Linked DNA regions of Sus scrofa. The protein of the gene in region 1 purifies or fractionates together with the protein of each later gene. This does not show direct contact. Links are inferred from orthologs where the notes say so. Each region holds a gene or a part of one and is shown in the gene's direction. Other genes may lie near its edges.

The links.
Region 2: the proteins of PRMT1 (region 1) and KPNA2 fractionate together in Homo sapiens (co-fractionation; 3 studies listed by BioGRID, with this or other methods). This does not show direct contact. The link is inferred for Sus scrofa from reciprocal best matches to the Homo sapiens genes PRMT1 and KPNA2.
Region 3: the proteins of PRMT1 (region 1) and SERBP1 purify together in Homo sapiens (affinity purification with mass spectrometry; 3 studies listed by BioGRID and IntAct, with this or other methods). This does not show direct contact. The link is inferred for Sus scrofa from reciprocal best matches to the Homo sapiens genes PRMT1 and SERBP1.
Region 4: the proteins of PRMT1 (region 1) and LSM14A purify together in Homo sapiens (affinity purification with mass spectrometry; 3 studies listed by BioGRID and IntAct, with this or other methods). This does not show direct contact. The link is inferred for Sus scrofa from reciprocal best matches to the Homo sapiens genes PRMT1 and LSM14A.
Region 5: the proteins of PRMT1 (region 1) and ALYREF purify together in Homo sapiens (affinity purification with mass spectrometry; 3 studies listed by BioGRID and IntAct, with this or other methods). This does not show direct contact. The link is inferred for Sus scrofa from reciprocal best matches to the Homo sapiens genes PRMT1 and ALYREF.

What each region holds. Positions count from the first base shown.
Region 1 is NC_010448.4:54,721,891-54,725,402, forward strand, and holds part of PRMT1 (protein arginine N-methyltransferase 1), read left to right. Parts: intron 1-1,003; coding exon 1,004-1,159; intron 1,160-1,292; coding exon 1,293-1,356; intron 1,357-3,512. UniProt on the Homo sapiens protein: Arginine methyltransferase that methylates (mono and asymmetric dimethylation) the guanidino nitrogens of arginyl residues present in proteins such as ESR1, histone H2, H3 and H4, FMR1, ILF3, HNRNPA1, HNRNPD, NFATC2IP, SUPT5H, TAF15, EWS, HABP4, SERBP1, RBM15, FOXO1, CHTOP, MAP3K5/ASK1, MICU1 and NPRL2.
Region 2 is NC_010454.4:14,281,803-14,285,894, forward strand, and holds the start of KPNA2 (importin subunit alpha-1), read left to right. Parts: upstream 1-1,289; 5' UTR 1,290-1,323; intron 1,324-3,104; 5' UTR 3,105-3,523; intron 3,524-4,092.
Region 3 is NC_010448.4:145,185,313-145,189,505, forward strand, and holds the start of SERBP1 (plasminogen activator inhibitor 1 RNA-binding protein), read left to right. Parts: upstream 1-1,392; 5' UTR 1,393-1,520; coding exon 1,521-1,833; intron 1,834-4,193. UniProt on the Homo sapiens protein: Ribosome-binding protein that promotes ribosome hibernation, a process during which ribosomes are stabilized in an inactive state and preserved from proteasomal degradation.
Region 4 is NC_010448.4:43,864,876-43,868,387, forward strand, and holds part of LSM14A (protein LSM14 homolog A), read left to right. Parts: intron 1-2,781; coding exon 2,782-2,945; intron 2,946-3,512. UniProt on the Homo sapiens protein: Essential for formation of P-bodies, cytoplasmic structures that provide storage sites for translationally inactive mRNAs and protect them from degradation. Acts as a repressor of mRNA translation. May play a role in mitotic spindle assembly.
Region 5 is NC_010454.4:1,097,793-1,102,045, forward strand, and holds the start of ALYREF (THO complex subunit 4), read left to right. Parts: upstream 1-1,446; 5' UTR 1,447-1,569; coding exon 1,570-1,803; intron 1,804-2,231; coding exon 2,232-2,363; intron 2,364-3,831; coding exon 3,832-3,979; intron 3,980-4,253. Other genes in the region: ANAPC11 (anaphase-promoting complex subunit 11), read right to left, coding at 662-770. UniProt on the Homo sapiens protein: Functions as an mRNA export adapter; component of the transcription/export (TREX) complex which is thought to couple mRNA transcription, processing and nuclear export, and specifically associates with spliced mRNA and not with unspliced pre-mRNA.

The sequences.
Region 1 (3,512 bases):
TCCTAGGGCCCCTGAATCTTCACGGGGTTCGTGTTTGGTGGGGGGGGGGGGACTTAATTTCTAAGGCATGCGTGCTGCCGGGGAAGGGAGCGGGCAGTCCCTCCGCTGGCTACTCACACCCTGGGGGTCGACGCTCCCAGCTGTTGCCTTGGAGACTGAGGCGAGGCTGGCACTGCGCCAGCCGGGCCAGCTCAGGGGCGCGGGTGGGAGTGCGCATGTGCGCTGGGGACTTCAGCCCGAGGTCGGGGCCTGCTGGTCTCTGCCGCCCCCTAGTGGCCGGTGGTGGGACTGTCCGCCAGCTCCTCGGACTCAGAGTGCGGGCTGCCTCTAGACGTTTTTTTGCCTGCGGTGGAGGCTGAGGTCCCAGAAATCACCTAGGACCGGGATGTGTTTTTCTTTTCTTATTGTGATTAAAAAAAAGTGCATAACAGTTTGCCATTTTCACGTATACAGCTCAGTGGCATTAAGTTACTGAGGACTTTTTAAAGCCAAGGACAGCAGGGACTCAGGGCAGTGGTCCATCTGTAAAGATGGGAGTTCAGGAGTTCCCATCGTGGTGCAGTGGAAATGAATGTGACTAGTATACATGAGGATGCGGGTTCGATCCCTGGCCTCGATCATTGGGTCGGGAATCCGGCGTCGTTGTGAGCTGTGGTGTAGGTCGCAGACGCAGCTCCGATCCCCCGTGGCTGTGGCATAGATTGGCAGCTGTAGCACTCATTCGACCCCTAGCCTGGGAACCTCTGTGTGCCTCGGGTACGGCCCTAAAAAGCAAAAAAAAAAAAAAAAAAAGGTGGGAGTTCAGTCCATCCAGTCTGATTTTACAAATAGGGAGATGGAAGCACGTGGAAGGGAAGTGACTTGTTCAAGGGAGTCGAGGAAGCAAGTGCGAGAGCCAAGCTCCAGTGCTTCAAACGGTGCGCGTGTTGGAGGCCGGGGCACCCTGTTTTCCAGCTGGGGATGCAGGCTCCCTCAAGGTGTCTTTGTGCTCCCCCCTTCCCAGGAAATGCTGAAAGATGAGGTGCGCACCCTCACCTACCGAAACTCCATGTTTCACAACCGGCACCTTTTCAAGGACAAGGTGGTGCTGGACGTGGGCTCGGGCACAGGGATCCTCTGCATGTTCGCTGCCAAGGCCGGTGCCCGCAAGGTCATCGGGGTGAGTGTCCTGGGTGGCTGGGCGGGCCCAGGGACGCCAAGGGGACCTTGTGGAGCTCAGGGATTGGGAGGGGGTGGGGGCTGAGGGTGGCACTGGGGGGGTCTCTCACCCTCCCTTCTTCCTGGGCCCCCAGATCGAGTGTTCCAGTATCTCTGATTATGCGGTGAAGATCGTCAAAGCCAACAAGTTAGACCACGGTGAGCCCAGCAAGAGAACGGGCGTGGGGGGAGGGAGTGGACCATCCCCGCTTCCCTGGGGTCCTTGGCAAGGCGACAGGGGCCACTGAACTTGAATTCCTGCCTTCCTCCCCCATGGGCTCTGGGCCGCGGACAGCCCGAGAATTCTGCCTACTCAGAAATGAGCTGTCAAAGTCGCCAGCTTAGTGCCTCGATTTTTGGTGGTTTTTTTTTTTTTTTTTTTTTTAAAGGCAGAGCAAGAAGCAATCTTTAGGGAGTTACCTGGTGGTCCAGGGATTAGGATTTGGTGCTTTCACTGCCGTGGCCCAGGTTGGATCCCTGGTCTGGGAGCTGAGGTCCAACATCAAGTTGCTGCACGTTGCAGGCCAAAAAAATTTAGTAATAATTTCTTTTAAAAGAAAAACAGTCTGTAGTTTTTTCACTGAGTGGTAGAATTCCTTGGTTGACCCCTGAGGGCCCGGGGTGAGAAGCTTCCCGTCTGCCTCGCAGTTGTCCTTCTCGGGCTTCCGCCAACACGTCCTTCCAGAGCCGTCTGCCTCTATGAGCAGGTGGACTTGTGTTTCTACATTCACTGCATAATTTTTTATTTTTTATCAGGTGTGTATTTTTGACACAGATAAACTCAAGTTTTTTTGCCCTTTTTTTTTTTTATTTTATTTTTGCTGAAGTATAGTTGATTTACAGTGTCGTGTTAGTTTTAGGTAGACAGCGAAGTTGGATGTTTTTCTTTTGTCTTTTGTTGGCTGCCCCACACTAGATCCCTAACCCACTGTGCCCAGCGAGGATCGAACCTGTGTCCTGGTGCTCCAGACACCACTGATCCTGTTGCGCCACAGCAGGAACTCCAACAGCAAAAATAGATGTATACACCTTCGTCAGAGTTATTTTCCTTATAGGTTATTAGAAAACATGGAGTTTAGTTGCCTGTGCTGAGCAGTTGGTTGTCTTTTTTTTTTCTTTTTTTTTTTTTCCCCCTCTTTTTAGGGCCACACCCATGGTGTATGGAGGTTTCCAGGCTAGGGGTCCAGTCCGAGCTACAGCTGCCGGCCTACGCCACAGCCACAGCAATGCCAGATCCAAGCTGTGTCTGCAGCCTACATCACAGCTCACAGCTACGCTGGGTCCTTAACCCGCTGAGCAAGGCCAGGGATCGAACCTGCACTTCTGCAGGGACCAGAACCGCTACAGTCAGATCCTTAATCCACTGTGCCACAGGGGGAGCTCCCTACAGCAGCTTTCCTAACCAGATTCCTAGTGATGAGCATTTAAGCTGCTTCTGAGACTTTCATCCCTCCGCATGTACTGTCATTGCCATCTGATAGACGAACTGGTATAGCTGTGAGGTCACTTTTTGAGAGTAGGATTGCATGGGTCAAAAATGAGGAAGGAGGGATTCCCCTTGTAGCTCAGCGGGTTAAGAACCTGACATAGTGTCTGAGGATGCAGGTTCAATCCTTGTCCTTGCTTAACAGGTTAAGGATCTAGCTTTGCCAAAAGCTGCGGCATAGGTCACAGATGTGGCTCAGATCTGGTGTTGCTGTGGTCGTGGCCTTGGCTGGCAGCTGTAGCTCTAACTCAACCCCTAGCCTGGGAGCTTCCATATGCTGTAGGTGGGGTCATAAGAAGGAAAAAAAAAAATGAGGAAGGAGTTCCCTGGTGGCTCAGCAGGTTAAGGATCTGGCATTGCCACTGTAGTGGCTTGGGTCACTGCTATAGTGCAGGTTCAATCCCTGGCCCCATGGTATGGGTGTGGCCAGAAAGAGTAATGTGAAAAGGTTGGGAAGATGGTGGGTTTTCCAGACACGAAGTCTCTTGGCATTCTAGAAACTGAAGGGACTTTTTTTTTTTCCCAAGAGGCTGGTGTAAGAAAGCCTCAAGGACCCATCACATTAGTTTTAAATACCTCCATTTGAAGCAGGTTCCAACTTTGTAATAATACCTGCTGTTTGTACCTCTAAGGCCATTTGAAAACCATGACGTTGGAGTTCCCTGCTGGCACAGGGGGTTAAGGATCCAGGATTGGCAACTGCTGTGGCTCAGGTTTGATGCCTGGCCCGGGAACTTCCTCATACCTCTGGTGCAGCCAAATAAATAAATAAACAACATGACCAAACGATTATATACAGGCTGGATAAACAGCAAGGTCCTGCAGAGAG
Region 2 (4,092 bases), on another chromosome or scaffold:
GCGAAGATAGAACTGAGGGCTCCCATGTACCCTTCATTCACTTTCTTTTAATGTTAACATCTTACGTAACCATGTACATTTGTCACGAGGAAGAAATCAACATTGGTAGACTGCTGGTCACTAACTAGAGAATGTATTCAGAGTCCGCTTTTTTTTTTTTTTTTTTTTTCCATGAACATCCAAGCTCAAATCCAGGTATGACACTGCATTTAGTATTTTGCTGTTTTTCAAGAGTAGGAGTTAACTCAGTGATATTCGTCTTATACAAGTTTTACAAGAAGAGTTTAAACTTTTCTAGTCAACTGAACCAGTCTGAAAAGCGTAAAAACTCGATTGTATTTCTTTTATTGCAAATCAAATACACACACACAAACCTTATGATCCAGCTGTAATTTGTTGTTCATAATACTTTAGGGACAGAAACCATAAATTATATTTATTATATTTGTATGTTTTAATACAGTTAAAAACACAGTTGCTTATACATTCTCCTTAGTACTGGAAATAAGTCTGGAGTCAACACAGTTGGATCTGCTCACACTGTGAGCAGGATGGGATAAGGATGGGGAGGAAGTTTTGTCTGTGTGGCTGCCCATGGAAAACTCAGTTTATTCATTTATTTTTAATTTTATTGGAGTATAGTTGACGTAAACGTTGTAGTAATTTCAGGTGTACAGCAAAATACATATAAACTCAATTTAAAAAGGCAGAGAAAGAGGTGATGCCATCTGTCAAATTGGCGGTTCCTTTTCCTCAACCTTTTTCCTTTAAAGACCCGTATAAACTAAATGATTCTGTAGGTGAGATTGTGACTTTCACTTGCAAGTTCTCACTTGCAGTGCTGTTAAAACACGGAGATGCATTTCCTAATTTGTAAGTACAACAGACCTCATAGCTCTGTAGAGAAAGCGAAATAATGACATTTCAAAATCTACTTTGAGTTCTAAGTGCCTGTAATCACTTTTTTCCCCTTGCACCAAAATTAGTCTGTGTACGACCCAGATGGGACTCGAACCCACAATCCCCAGCTCCGGAGGCTGATGCCTTATCCATTAGGCCACTGGGTCACCACAGGATCCGCGTTCTCACACCATCTCCTTACGCGATGCCATCATCGCGCCCCGCCCCCGAGCTTGGCGGCCTCACGTCGGGCGGCGTGGGATTTGGGAGCCGCCCCCAGCGACGGCAAAATGCGCCTGCGCTCTCGGCCCCGCCCGCCCTCAGCCCCGCCCACCAACCTAGCCTCCCCGCGCATGCGCGTTGTCCTCCCCACCCGCCTTCCCCGATGGTGCGTGGCCTGCCTGCGGGATTCTCTGCGCCGCAGTGAGTGGCCTCCTACCTGTTGGGTTCTTACGGTAAAGGTCTCAGCACTGGCTGCATACTAGATATTAAGCGCACTTGGGGAATTGTAAAGAAAATTCCGAAGCCTGTCCTCCATCCCACCCCGTTCTAATTCTATTCACCTGGGTAGGCCCAGGCCTCTGCATTTTACAGAGTTCAGGCCCCTTCCTCTGCCGGAAGGTTCTCCTGCATCCCCCTCAACCTTTCCTTCTTTATCAAACTACTTCTTTTTCATTCTTGCATTTAGTCAACGTACATTAATTGGATAACCCATTAAGGAAGGCAACTGTTAGGTCGTTGCAGGGTGAACAAAATTTTCTTCAAATTTGCCCGTCTAGGTTTGAATGCCATTTGTTCCTGTGTGAACCTGACAAGTTACTTAACCACCCGCTCTTCTCTTCTGTGAAATGGAACAGATAGTAATACTACCTCACAGAATTGTGAAGATGAATTTTCATATCGGTAATACCAAACACTTCTAGGCACGTAATACCGATATTTTCATGCAAAAGAAAGCCCAATTACACTAACTTAAACAACAAAGGAAGTGATGATATAATTATCACAAAGGATGATATAATTGCAGCCTTCTGAGGTAGGTCAGGATGGTGATCAAAGCTTTCATGGTTTCTCTACAATTGTCTTAACTCAAATTTCTAGAACTCACATCACTCAGTTCGGAACAGAGCCTGCTTTCCCACCTCCAATCATTAAACAAAAAGCATAGGCTTCACAACTGGATGAAATTAGGTCAGATGACTGCCCCTGAGCCATTCATTGTAGCAAAGGGAATGCCTTGCAGTGACTGGTTTACAGGTGAATTCCTTCCACGTTTTCGCATTTGGGCAGATAGGATTATACTGATTGGGTAGGTGAGAGGAGACAACCTCCTGTGATTCCCTTGGCTGCTACACAGTGCATGAAGCTGGCAAAAATGCCTGCAAGAAGAGACGAAGACCATTGTTTGAATTTATAGTAAAAAACACACAAACAACAAAACCAATACAGCTTTTCTTAAAAATACCCTTTTCAGAATACGGAAAAATTATGAAAACAAAGTGGCCTATAACACTGACATTACGAGAACCATCACTGATGCTTTTTTAAAAATTACAAGAAAATGCAAGCATTTTATTCAGAAATGTATAAATTGTAGCATAAGTCATTACTGGAACAACTGACAAAATTTGAACATGGACTATATAATAAATCACATCGAAGTTCAGATGTCTTGAATTTGATGATTGTGGAGTGGTTATATAACAGAATGTCCTTATCCTTCCAAGGTGCAACCCAAAATATTTAGGGATAAAGGGACATGATTTCTCAAACTTACCCTTCAAAAGGTTGAAAAGTATCATGTAAAAGCTATGCATATGGGCCTACTAGTACGTGTGGGTATTTACACAGAGAAAGAAATAGTAAATGTGGCAAATGTTAACACTTGGCAAATATGCATAAAGATTTATAGTTCTTTTGTATTTGAAAATAAAAAATAAGACTGGAGAAACAGATGTAGTAAACCTTTTGTTACCATTACTTGTGCCGTCTATGCAGTCTTTTATGATGCAAGTTAGAAGAAAAAAAAAACTAAACTAAAAAGTGCAGCACAAATCTGCTTTATCCATCCCCTCCTTGGTGGCCCTGCTAACCTTTGGTGGCCTTTTTCTTCTGAGTCCTATCAGAGAAAAAAATACATAGCAATGTATTTCTATATCGAAATTTTAAAAATTATTTGGGGAATCATTTGTGGTTCTCTTAAGGCAGACGCCAAGGGTAACGACCAACCACTGTACACGAGTAAACCCTCGGTAAAGGACCGAGGCTATGGCCAAGGCGGGCTGGAAACTAGCCCTTCGCGCTGCACGCCGGGACCTGAAGGCTGCCGCCTCCGAACTGCGGGGCGCTCTGGGATCGCCCGGCCGCTCCCTCATCTCGCGATGCTATCGTATCTTCTGGGCCCTCTGACCCCTCCCAACGTGTTTTTCAAATCCACCAATGGACGTCTAGCATAAGCTCGAACCAGCCAATCGGAATGCGGAGCCACCGGGAAATTTAAATCGCGCCGGCTGCACGAGCCACACTGTCCTCGCGCTGACCGTGGTGGACGTTTTGAGAGACCCTGAGCCGCAGCCTGAGCGCCCCTGACCGCCTCCTGTGGAAGCCTGAGCCGGCTGTGTAGGTACGAACCTAGGCCGCAGTCCGGCCTGAGTGGCAACGGCTGGCCTGTAGGCCGGGCTCGGCTTGTGGGTGGCGGGAGGGAAGGCCCGGGCTATACGCCTGGCCTAGCTTTGGCTTCTTTGGTTGACGAGGCCTTTGGGGTCGTTCGTTTACGAGACGGGTGTTTGGGGATGCGGGTGCTTGGGTTTTAGGGCCCGAGGCTCTGCAAACCGCCGCAATGGCATTTACTCGAGAATCAGAGTGAGGCCCGAGGGCGAAAGCCCAAGTAGGTTGCCGGGCGCCTCTGGCTCCTCCTCCGTCAGTTCCCGGCTGCTCCTTCCCCGAAATGGGGCGGGGAGGGGGGAGCAGGGGAAGGGACTGGAGATGGAGGTGGCAGTTGGAAGTGCTGTCTCTTAAAACACGTCGGCCCTGGGTTGGTTGTGTCACTATTTCGTAAAAGAACAAAATGAAATTAAAGATAGCCCCCTCCCCCCCTTAGGAGGACTTTTCCTTTTGTGATCTTTTGGGGAGTGCGCTTAAGTAGCCACGTCTGAGTGAAGCACAGCTGGGGATATCAACCTAATTTGGTGC
Region 3 (4,193 bases), about 90 Mb from region 1:
ACTAGGCTTGCTGCCACAGGACTGTAATATGACTCTTTTATTTCCCATGTTAAGGAATTGACTTGAATTCCTCTCAGAAATCGATAAGATTGCATTTGGCCATGTTACATACCCTGCTTGACAAGCAACAATATTTAGATTTTATCAAATATTGGAAATGAACTGATAATTGACTGGCTTCTATCAAAAGGTAGCATTTGGATTAAAAAGGATGTCAAGCGTCTCAGAGTGGAATTAGAAGACTGGGTTAACTCCTGGCACTAGCATTTACAGAAGTGTAAACTTGGTAAATCTTTTCACCTCTGAAATGGTTTTAATTTGTGAAAAGGGAAACCTACCTAACAGGTTGTTGACATTAAGGTCATTCATAGCCTCTGAACATAGAGATGCATTTTTTTCCCCTATATTTTGCGTTACTGGAAAAAGGTTTAAAAATTATGACAACACATTTAAACTTAGTGTTACCAAATATGCTTGAATATGCATCGACACTCTATGATCTCAAAGGACTTTAATATTTTCAACTAATAATGACAGTCAATTCGCTGACATTTTCCTCCCCTCAATGCACTTTTTAGCACACCACACATTCATTCGGTTGCTCTAAAATGTTACTTCTTTGGCACATTTTACAAACACCCAATCTGTACCTTTCCGGACACTAACGGACAATCAGATTGACTCTAGAAAGTGTTTCTTCTATAAGCAACGCCTTTTCGAGGTTTGCCCAGGGTCTGGCTAGCGCCGCACTGTCGGGAGTTAACAGCAAATAAAGCACCGGTCGCAAGCGCGCAACACTCACATATAATACTTCAACTTGTCTTTTAGGTTAATTCTGCTGCTCGAGTTCAAGTCCCCGCGAGAGGAAGCGTATTCCGCTTCACATTAAGCAGAAGAGTCTCGATTCATTAATGGGGCTGCAGGAGGGAGACGCCAGCAACTGAGTAGCTGGGGCACTTGGAAGAGAGCGGCACCTCTGCAACCCCTCGAAGTTTGTTTCCATTTATAAGACTGGTAGCCACCTTGACCCTCCTAGAGAGGTGGGGAAAGTTAGCCCTGGACCGGAGGCGGGAAGTAAAACCGAAGACTGAGAACTTTCGCGAGGAAAACACGCCTTCACGTTTTCCTGTTTTCAGCGCAGCTCAAGACCCAGAGAGTTTAAGGGTGGTGAGAGCAGGTGGCAGAACTCCGCCCACCACCGCGCTTCTCCTCCCTCAGCTTGCACGCTCCACTCCCTCGGTGAGGTCCCGCCTCTGAGGCGCGCGCGAAGAGTTGTCGCGCCGTGAACTCTGGGAATCGTAGTGCTGGCTCTGGGAATCGCCACGGGAAAAGCGACTCTTGCCTACATACCCCGTGGTGCCTTGCGGCGCTGGCCGCTACCGGATGTGTGCCTGGCGCCGGAAGAGAAGACGGCCCCCCTCTCGCAGCCCGGCCATCTTGTGGGAAGAGCTGAAGCAGGCGCTCTTGGCTCGGCGCGGCCCGCTGCAATCCGTGGAGGAACGCGCCGCCGAGCCACCATCATGCCTGGGCACTTACAGGAAGGCTTCGGCTGCGTGGTCACCAACCGATTCGACCAGTTATTTGACGACGAATCGGACCCCTTCGAGGTGTTGAAGGCAGCAGAGAACAAGAAAAAAGAAGCCGGCGGGGGCGGCGTTGGGGGCCCTGGGGCCAAGAGCGCAGCTCAGGCCGCAGCGCAGACCAACTCCAACGCGGCGGGCAAACAGCTGCGTAAAGAATCCCAGAAAGACCGCAAGAACCCGCTGCCCCCCAACGTTGGCGTGGTTGACAAGAAGGAGGAGACGCAGCCGCCTGTGGCGCTTAAGAAAGAAGGTAAAGCTGTGGTGGAAGCCACGGAGACCCGGGATGGAGGGAAGGACTGAGGGGACTTGTAGCTACCACTTGCTTCTGGGGTCCGAGGGTCCACGGGAGGCTTTGCCGCCGATTTTCTCGCGTTTCCCCCACACGACAAAGCCAGGTCTTCCGAAGGTGCTGGGAGCGTGGTAGCCCCAAGTTCAAACCGCCGCCTGCAAGGATCCTGGAGCCACCCCCTTCCCGCCTCAGCCTCTGAGCGGAGGAGCGTGGTCCGGAGACGAGCTGCTGCTCGAGCGTGCTCGGGATCCTGAGAGGCTCTTGTCTTCCCGCCGGATTCCTGGGCGGGCGGGCAGGCGCATGGACCGGGGCTCGGGGAAGGGAGCTGCTTCCACGGGCATTTGTAGTTAGCGGGGCAGCAGGGACTCGGCGGCTTCTTCCTGTCGGAGCTCTCCTGCAGCCTGCTGCTTCGAGGTGCGATTGTCTCTCTTAGGCTCCTGTCCTGCCATCTTGTCCCAGGATGGCGCGAGGTACCCTGAGCAAAGCCGGGGGTCGGAGTTTCCACCAAAGCTACCCATCCTCTCGAGCCTATCGGATATCGTGGAGAAAGCTGCCTTTCTTTGTAGGTGCCGCATGTGGCTTTATTTTTCCCTCTTCGTCCCTTTAATCGTTACAAACTTAATAACTGGCTGGAAGGAGTTAAGCTGTTGGGAGGGAGAGAAATTTGGCCACTCCGGGTTGAACAGGAGCGGGAATTCCCACTGACGACCGGTGATAGCACCTGAGGCTCGTCCTGGGATTATGATCCTTTCCCCCCCGTAGGACCCCTTCCCGCAGGCGCTGTTTCATGTGGTGTGTGGCCTGGCCTGGGCCTCGTGGTGAAAGAAACGCGGAGACTGTCACAGCGTTGGCCGCCGCGGAGCCGTTTTGAGTCTGTACCTTTTCTCCCCATGTGCGTGAAGCGTGGTCAGGATTTCATTGGCGGCTAGCAGTTGCTTCCAGGTCACTGTAAATACTTCGCAGGATTGTTTTGAATTTGGTATATGCATTCTCGGTACTGGTTTGTCCTTTGCAGTGGATTAAACCCAGACATTTTGGGAAAAGCAAGTGTACGTACATGACCTATAGCAAATCGGTGTATAGGACCTAAGCGTAGAATCTTAAAGGTTTCCTTTGTGTGTTGAAAGTTGAAAATTTTCTTTAGTGCCACGTGCTTCTGAAAGGAGTTCTTACTACCTTAATTGAATTTGATAATACTCAACTAAAAAGTCCAAACAATTGTGTTATGTTTTAATTTGGAATTTTTAAAAAATATAGAGAGCTTTATGAGGTTTGGGACGAAGAACCTAGGTGGTAAATGAAAGAATTAATTGTATTAAAATTACTGGTTGGTGAGGGATGCACAAATTTGAGTATTAGAAAGCGTGTATACATTGCTCAGGCCAAATATCCATGCAGTCAACTAAGCCTTATAGCTACCTGTAGCACAATCTAATAAACCATTTAATTTCTATGTTAAGGAACATTGGCTTATGTAATTAAGCTATACTCAGTTTACCTCCTTCATCACACTAATCCAAAGAAGAGTACATGAAAAAATTGAATCAAGTGTGTTCACCCATTTTGACTGTTGAAAGCATGAAGCATGGCTAAATATCTCATGTTTTGATTATAAAGTCCATCTTTGAAATAAGCTCTTACCTGGAAACTAGTGTTTTAAATTACAGAGTTAGAAAGTTATTCTATAAATTTATAACCAAGGCTGAGTGTTCATTCAGTGGTCTATCCTTGGGAAAACTTCCATTGTTAGCTATCAGCATTTTCCTTAGGTCAGCATTTCTAACCTTAACTTGCATTAAACACTGGCTTATAAATATAGTGAAAATGGTGAATGAAAAAAATTTTGTTTTGAGATCTTACTACTTGGCAGTCAGTGTTCTGGGGTTGGGAAAGGAAAGAACTGTAAACAAAGTCTCCTTCTTGTACTGGGAAGGATTTTTATCCTGATCCTGTGTTCTCTGCCTTTGAGTAGAGGTCCTGGCACAATTCTAGACATGCCTTACATATGTGTTTAATGATTATATTTTATGAATTTCGTAGTTTGTTTTTTGCACACTTGAGGAACTTGAGAATTGACACCAAAGAATATCACTGAGTATACCAAGGTGTTTTTGTTTTTGGTTTAATATTAAAAGCCTGGAAGCTAGTAAAAAGAGAAGCTTGCATTTTAAAATATCAGTCATTGGGTGAAAAATTTTCAATTCTGTAAGCTAACCTAATGTTGAATATTGGGGTGGGGAATCAAGCCATTGTTCATTTGGGCGTGTGTGTGTTTTGGATATTATTAGGATTGGTTCCGTAGCTCCACCCCAATACACTGC
Region 4 (3,512 bases), about 11 Mb from region 1:
TGGATTTTTTTTTTTTTTTTCTGTCTTTTGAGGGCTGCACCTGTGGCCTATGGAGGTTCCTAGGCTAGAGGTCCAATCAGAGCTGTAGTTGCTCGCCTACACCACAGCCACAGCCACGCCATGCCAGATCTGAGCCATGTCTGCAACCTCCACCACAGCTCTCGGCAACACCAAGATCCTTAACCCACTGAGCAAGGCCAGGGATCGAACCCACAACCTCATGGTTCCTAGTCAGATTCCTTTCCTCTGTGCCACGACAGGCATTCCTCTCGGTGGATTTTTAATCTGTCTTTTGAGTACATGGGTGTAGTCTGCATGGTTTTGTTATGCCTTGGAAAGTCTCATGAAGCTTCTCACCCACCCACAGCTTCAGGATGAGATAATCTCTTACTTTGGATGTTTGAGATTTTGTAAAACATTGTATGGTGGTAGTAGTGACGGTGGTAAGGTTAGGAGCGAAACTGATTTATTTGTAATTTTCTTAGTCTAGCTTTTTGTAATTCTTTCTAGCCTTCTTTTTGGTTAAAGGACAAAATGTAGGACCTTGTCACTTTATCACTCATTCCGTGATAAAGTATAGTTTGGCCATCAGAGAAAGAGGAACCTCAGCTAGGGCATTCTACATCTTTTCCTTTATCATGTCTGTGTTCCTGTCCCCATCCACCAAGTTGGAGGGTGCCTGGGAAAATTTCTCAGCATGCTACATATGGATTCTGGAATTGGTCTTCCAGTTTAGACTAACTCATTGAGTATCTGAATGATATTTTTTATTAAAGCTTTATGGTATGGGCTTGAGGCATTTTCCTAGTTTAAGGTTATCTTAACTTTAATCTTCTTTAGTTTTAGGGAGGAATGTTCTGCAAACCTACACCTAGGTCACCATCTTTTCTAAAAGTCTTATAAGCACTGGAAATAATTTTTAGGATTTTTTTAAATTTTTTTTGGTCTTTTTTCTATTTCTTTGGGTCGCTCCCGCGGCATATGGAGGTTCCCAGGCTAGGGGTCGAATCGGAGCTGCAGCCGCCAGCCTCCGCCAGAGCCACAGCAACTTGGGATCCAAGCCGCGTCTGCAACCTACACCGTAGCTCACGGCAACGCCGGATCATTAACCCACCGAGCAAGGGCAGGGACCGAACCCGCAACCTCATGGTTCCTAGTCGGATTCGTTAACCACCACGCCACAACGGGAACTCCAGGTTTTTTTTTTTTAAAGGCATCATTGAAACTGAAATTTGAAACTTTGCACAGTGTTAAGGGGCTTACTTCCTCTAGGATACTCTTTAAATGGATACTATCTGATACTGCAAACTTTCCTATTTGGAGCTTCTGTGGAGATGTTCACATTTTTAGAAGTCTTTTAAGAATTCATAAGATTCTCAGAGTTCCTGTCGTGGCGCAGTGGTTAACAAATCCTACTAGGAACCATAAGGTTGCGAGTTCAATCCCTGGCCTCACTCAGTGGGTTAAGGATCTGGCGTTGCTGTGAGCTGTAGTCTAGGTCACAGATGCAGCTTGGATCCCTTGTTGCTCTGGCTCTGGTGTAGGCTGGCAGCTACAGCTCCACTTGGACCTCTAGCCTAGGAACCTCCATATGCCGCAGGTGCAGCCCTAGAAAAGACAAAAAGACCAAAAAAAAAAAAAAAAAAGAATTCATAAGACTCTCTTGGAGTTCACTGGTGACTCAGTGGGCTAAGGATCTGGTGTCGTTGCTGCTATGGCTCGGGTTCAGTCCTTGGCCCAGAAACTTCTGTATGCTGCAAGCGCAGCCAAAAAAAAAGACTCTCTTAAGGAATTGGTTTAAAATGCAGATATCTGCACCCTTTTCCCAGAAAGTCTGAGTCAGTAGGTTTTTTAAGAGGATCCCAGAAATCTTATTAGCTAGCTCACCCTAATGCAGGTGGTCCACAGTTCAGCTTTGAATACTGCTATCTTTTTTATTTTTTATTATTTTACAGCCACACATGCAGAACATGGAAGTTCCTGGGCCAGAGTGAATCCCAGCCACAGCCGCGAACTAGGTTGCAGCTACAGCAATGCTAGATCCTTTAACCCACTGAGCCAGGCCCGGTATCAAACCCCTGCCTCTGCAGTGACCTGAGCCCTGGCATTTGGATTCTTAACCCACTGCACCACAGTAGGAACTCCTTAAGTAATGCTATCTTAAGTGTTAAAATAATCAGATTTAATATGAGATAGGTATTTTAGTTAACTAGAGCATTTCAGGCTGTCCAATGGGCTGAATAGGTGATAGCTGCTTTCCTTAGCTTCTAGAGGACAAACTCACCAAGAGAGATGTTCTTTCTGTTGTCTCATCTTAAGCTCGAAGTTCAGTTTCTCGAATTTGGCACTTTTTGTAGATTGGAAATCTTCACTCACTCCCTGCCCCCCGCCCCAAAAATATTACACAGGTTGCCGGTTTTTTGTTTTGCCAAATAAGGACATTAAAAATAAATCAACGAATATTTTTAATATTTCCTCTTACCACAACCACCAAAGATTTAAGTAAATAAAAATGTAGGAAGAACACAACCATGTAACATAGATAGTCCTTTTTTACAAAATTTTATGGCCATACCCATGGCATTTGAAAGTTCCCAGGCCAGGGATTGAATCTGAGCCACAGCTGTGACTTTTTAAAACTATTTAGCTGCAAATTAATAAATATTTTCTCATGGATGACATTTAAGAACTGCTGCTTAATACTTGAAATAGTGCATTTGTAAGAGCACTACCTGAATGCAATGAATAGAAACTACCTCATATCCTCTGTTTTCTCACCAGTTCGGTCCTTTGGTACAGAAGACAGACCAACAGATCGTCCAATACCACCTCGAGATGAAGTCTTTGAATACATTATATTCCGTGGGAGTGATATTAAAGACCTAACTGTTTGTGAGCCACCAAAACCACAATGTTCTTTGCCTCAGGACCCAGCTATCGTTCAGGTAACATAGTAAATCTGTCTTGGAGTATGGGCAAATTTCACGCACATAACTAGCCTTGGATTTTGCCTCTCCTTGTTTTTGTTTTTTGAATTTTCTCAATTGAATACTCATGTAGTTTATTTATCTAGATACCTTAAATAACTGTATAATGTTCTCACCCAGGTTTTTCTCTTTAGAGCGTAAGTTGGAATTAATAAAGAAATGGCCGAGGAGTTAATTTTTATTATATTGTCTATTTCAGCAACAGTTAAGATAGCTAATATGTATTGAGGTCTAACTTTATAAGAGGCACTATTCAAAGCACTGTATATAAGACAGTCCTCCTTAAGTAATAATATACCCTCTGAGCTTTTACTGTAGTTATTCTCATTTTTGCCAGCAAAGAAATTGAGGTAGAGCCATAGTTTGAATAGATCTAAGACGTCTGCTCCAGGATCCATGCCACTATGTTATTCACATGTGGTTCATATTATAAACCAGGGTGGTGGGAGTTCCCATTGTGGCTCAGAGGGTTAGAAACCTGACGCAGTGTCTGTAAGGATGCAGGTTTGGTCCCTGGCCTCACTC
Region 5 (4,253 bases), on another chromosome or scaffold:
ACTCACTGCACCCGAGCAGCTGCTCAGTGGTCCCCAAGCCCCACCTCCCTCTTGGGACCACCCTTGTCCCCTTGGCAAAGCCAGAGACCCTTTCGTCTGTCCCCAAACTAAATTAACTCTTGACCTGAATATAACAACCACTTTCACTTCACCAAACACCCTGGGAAGGAACGAACACGGCAAAAGCGGCAAAAGATGTCTCCTTGCGTTGTGTTGTCTGTGGTGACAGCAGTGGCGAATGACAGAGAGAAGTGAGTGGCAAAAAGCATTACCTCCAGCACTGACTTTAAAACATTTGGACAAAAGCAAATACGGAAACATGTCATTTCCGGTTTGACCTGCTAGATGGGAGAGTGGTTTTATAACATTCCATTCTTTTGTTGGCTTGAGAATAAAGGTCTTCGAATAAAAGATCTTAACACATCTCTCAGTCCCACGTGTTTCACAGTGACTCTCACCTGGACAGGAAGCTGTGCTCTTTTTTCTCACCAAACCTTTGACAGACGTCTCGTGTACAAACATGGGCCCAAACTGACTAGCCTTTCCCCATTAACTTTCTTGGGGAAAGGAAATCAAACGCTGGGGATGCTATGCAGGTATCTCTAAGGACCTGCCAAGGCCAGCAAGCAGTCAAAACTCGAGGGCGGGCAGGGGCACTCACAGTCCGGGCAGCAGCCATTGAAGGCCATCCGGCAGATACCGCAGTTCTCGTCGTTGGCCACCCAGAGCCACGTGGCCACGCCGTTCCAGCACTTGATCTTCACCTTCATGGCGCGGGAGCCTGCGGGAGGGAAGAGACCCCCGGGGTTCCGGTGAGGCTGCTGAGCTACAGCACTTGGGAGCCAAAGAAGAGGTTCCGCCCCGAGCCCTCTAGAGGGTCGGGGAGGGCAGGAGTCGCCTCCGGCAGGGCAGCACAAACTGTCAGCGAGGCGGCTGGGGCAAGGGCCGGGTCCCCGGGAGGACCGGGCGCTCAGCGCATCTCCCAACGCCGCGCTTCTGCCCGGGCGTCCACGGAAGGGGGCGTCGGCTTCCGTTAACCACTGCAAAATCCTGCCGTGTGTACGTCTGAAAGGGACATGACTGTCGAGGTCAGGAGGAGAGCCAAACCCCTCCCTGCAAGACACCCGCGGAAACAAGCCCCCGGCCTGCGCGGCCGCTCCCCCCGCCTCCGCGGACCCGAGCGCGGGTTCGGGGCGGGGGGAGGGGCAGGACCCGGTTAGGACGTGCAAGGAGGGGCAAGGGAGGGGCGGAAGCCCGGCCCCGCCCAACGGCCGCACCCCCACTAACCAAATCACGCGCTGCCCCACCCGCCTTCCGTTGGCGGCGCCGGCGCCCGCGCGGGAAGGTATATAAACGACCGCGGCTGCGGACAGGCACTTCTCAGCGGCGCCCGCCGAAGCCCGGGGTCCAGCGCGCACGCCCCGCCCCGCCCCCCGACGCCGCCGCCGCCTCGCAGCCAATCCGCGGCCGCTCCGAGGACGCAGGCCCGGAAAAGGCCGCGCGGCGCAGGAAGTGACGCGCCGGCGTGCTGACGCGCGGGCTCCAGCCGAGGCCGATTCCGCGCCCGCCATGGCCGACAAAATGGATATGTCTCTGGACGACATCATTAAGCTGAACCGGAGCCAGCGAGGCGGCCGCGGCGGGGGCAGGGGCCGCGGCCGGGCCGGCTCCCAGGGCGGCCGCGGCGGCGGGGCGCAGGCTGCCGCGCGAGTGAGCCGAGGCGGCGGACCCATTCGGAACCGGCCGGCCATCGCCCGCGGCGCGGCGGGCGGCGGCAGGAACCGGCCGGCGCCCTACAGCAGGGTGAGTGCGGAGGCCGGCTGGCGGGCCGCGGCCGGGGGGCGGGCAGGCAGCGCGACGCGGGAGCAGCGGGCGGGCCGGGCCGGGGGGGTGGGGGCGCGGGCGCCGGCCGGGCGGACGGGGGAGGTCGCGCGCCAGCCGGGCCCCGAAGCGAGACCCCACCGGCCTTTGTTTGGGCTGGACGCCGGGCCTCGTGGCGCCGGGGGCCGAGGAGACGTTGGCGCGGCCGCCCTGGCGGCGGGAAGTTAGTTGGAGGGAACCGAGAAGTTGCGGGAAGTGCGGCCCCGCGGGCGGGAAGCGGGGGCTGCGGGCCCCTCTCGGTGCCTTCCTCCCGGGCCGCGATGGGGGAAGGTCTTGTGGCCGTGGGGGCGAGGGCGAGTCCTGGAGCGCGACTTATGGGTCTTTTTCTGTCGCGTTTTCTTTTTCTTTAGCCGAAACAGCTTCCTGACAAATGGCAACACGACCTTTTCGACAGCGGTTTTGGGGGTGGTGCCGGCGTGGAGACCGGTGGGAAACTGTTGGTGTCAAATCTGGATTTTGGCGTGTCCGACGCTGATATTCAGGTAAGAGACTGGAGCTTCTCCTCGGGAGCAGCTCACCCTGTACAGCACTGACTGTGGTGTTTGGGACGGGCCGGGACCCTGAATCCGCACCCACCTTGGGACAGTGAGCCCCTCCCAGGCCCTCGAGGGCTGGCCACCACTGCTCCCTGGAAGGGGCTGCTGGAGTGCATAGCAAAGGCCAAGCTAGAGCTGAAAGTCCAACTGCTGGTTCAGTTTGCGCTGGAAGACAGGCCCGGGTCGGGCCGGGCCGAGGCACCGCGGCTTTGGTAGCTAAGCATCCGCCGTGGGGGTGAGGAGCCTCTGCCTGCCCTTTTCTGGCAAGTGTGGCTGAACGCGTGTGGTTCTGCGTCCCTGAAAGAGCGCGGCTGTCTGCGGCTTTATTTCGTGCCCGTTTTAGTGATGCTTTGGGAGGAGAAAGCCCTTTCTCTGCAGGGCTGACAAAGTGCAGAAGCAGAGTGCTACAGGCATCTCTGGTCCCCTCTGCCTTAAGCCCCGTGGAACTGGGTCCCGGTCTTTCTCTCACCTATGCTCACGCTCTGGGTCTCGTTAGCGGCGCAAGTGTTTATTTAGTCTCGTCTTCGACTCAAGCCTCTTTTCTTTTCCGTTTCTTTTTCTCTTTTTTAAATCCACTCTCCAAGGCACTTGAACTGGTTTTCTCGTGAAGTAATGCCGTTTTGGGGGTCAGTCCTGCAGATGGCTGGGTCCGGGTGAGGGGCCTTCCTGGGTTCGGTCTCCCAGAGCCCAGCCGTTTTACTTAGCCGTGGGGGGACAGAGCAAGGCCAGTGAGCGCTCACAGTGTCTCCACACTTTTTTTAAGGTGGTTTCTGGCATCCACTGGAAACCGCTTTTGGTGAACTCCACTTCCCGCTGTGTGCCTGCGGCCGGAGTAGCCCCACACTCTGGGTTCCCTCTCCAACTCCCAGCCTGCCTGAGGTCAGGGCAGTTTCCATGGCAGCGCTTGACTTCAGACTTTGCGGCAGGCTTGAGTAGGAGGAGAGGGAAAGGTGAGCCCGAATCTGCCCGGGGGAGGGGCTGGGTCAGGGCTCCCGAGTCAGCGGGCCCTTCGAGCTGATCCACCTTGGCTTAGAGCCCCTCGCTCTGTGATCTTGGCCTTTGCAGCTTCTCGGCGCAGTCCTCGGGCGTGTCGTAGGTCTTCCTCTGTAGAAGGCGAGGGCCACTTAATCTCGCGCCCTTCCCCGCGGGCTTTGTGATGCTTTACCTGCACTGTGGTACCTGTGTCAGGTCCCCCGACTGGCAGGAGCCCTCAGGCCCAACGGCTCCTGCCTGGAAGTTGCTGTCCCCCTGCCCCATCCCATCCCCCAGTTCCCGCTACCACTGCCCTGCCCCCCCCACACGTGACGTCTGCCTCCCAGGTAGATACCCCAAAGCAGTGCACACTTCCAGGGAGTGTCCCTGGGCTGCCAGGAAGAAAAGGGCTTCGCTGACGAGTGCTCTTTCGGACTCACAGGAACTCTTTGCTGAGTTTGGAACTCTGAAGAAGGCGGCTGTGCACTATGACCGATCGGGCCGCAGTTTGGGGACCGCTGATGTGCACTTTGAGCGGAAAGCAGACGCCCTGAAAGCTATGAAGCAGTACAACGGCGTACCCCTGGACGGTGCGTACCCCTGGACGGTGCGTGGCCCTGGACGGTGCGTCGGGAGCCGCGCCCAGAAAGGCCTCGGGCGCCAGGAGTGGGGCCGCCTGTGCCTGAGGACACTTGGCCGTCGCCCCTTTTTCTCCCTCTTCCCGTTCTGCCGTCTCACGCTCCCCCGCGCACCTGGACCAGCCTCTCGTGAACCCCCTCCAGCAAGCAAGCCCCAGTCCTCCCCTCCTGCAGCTCCTTGCAGGAGACTCCCTTCTGCGAAGGCCCTTCAGAACCGCCGTAGTCC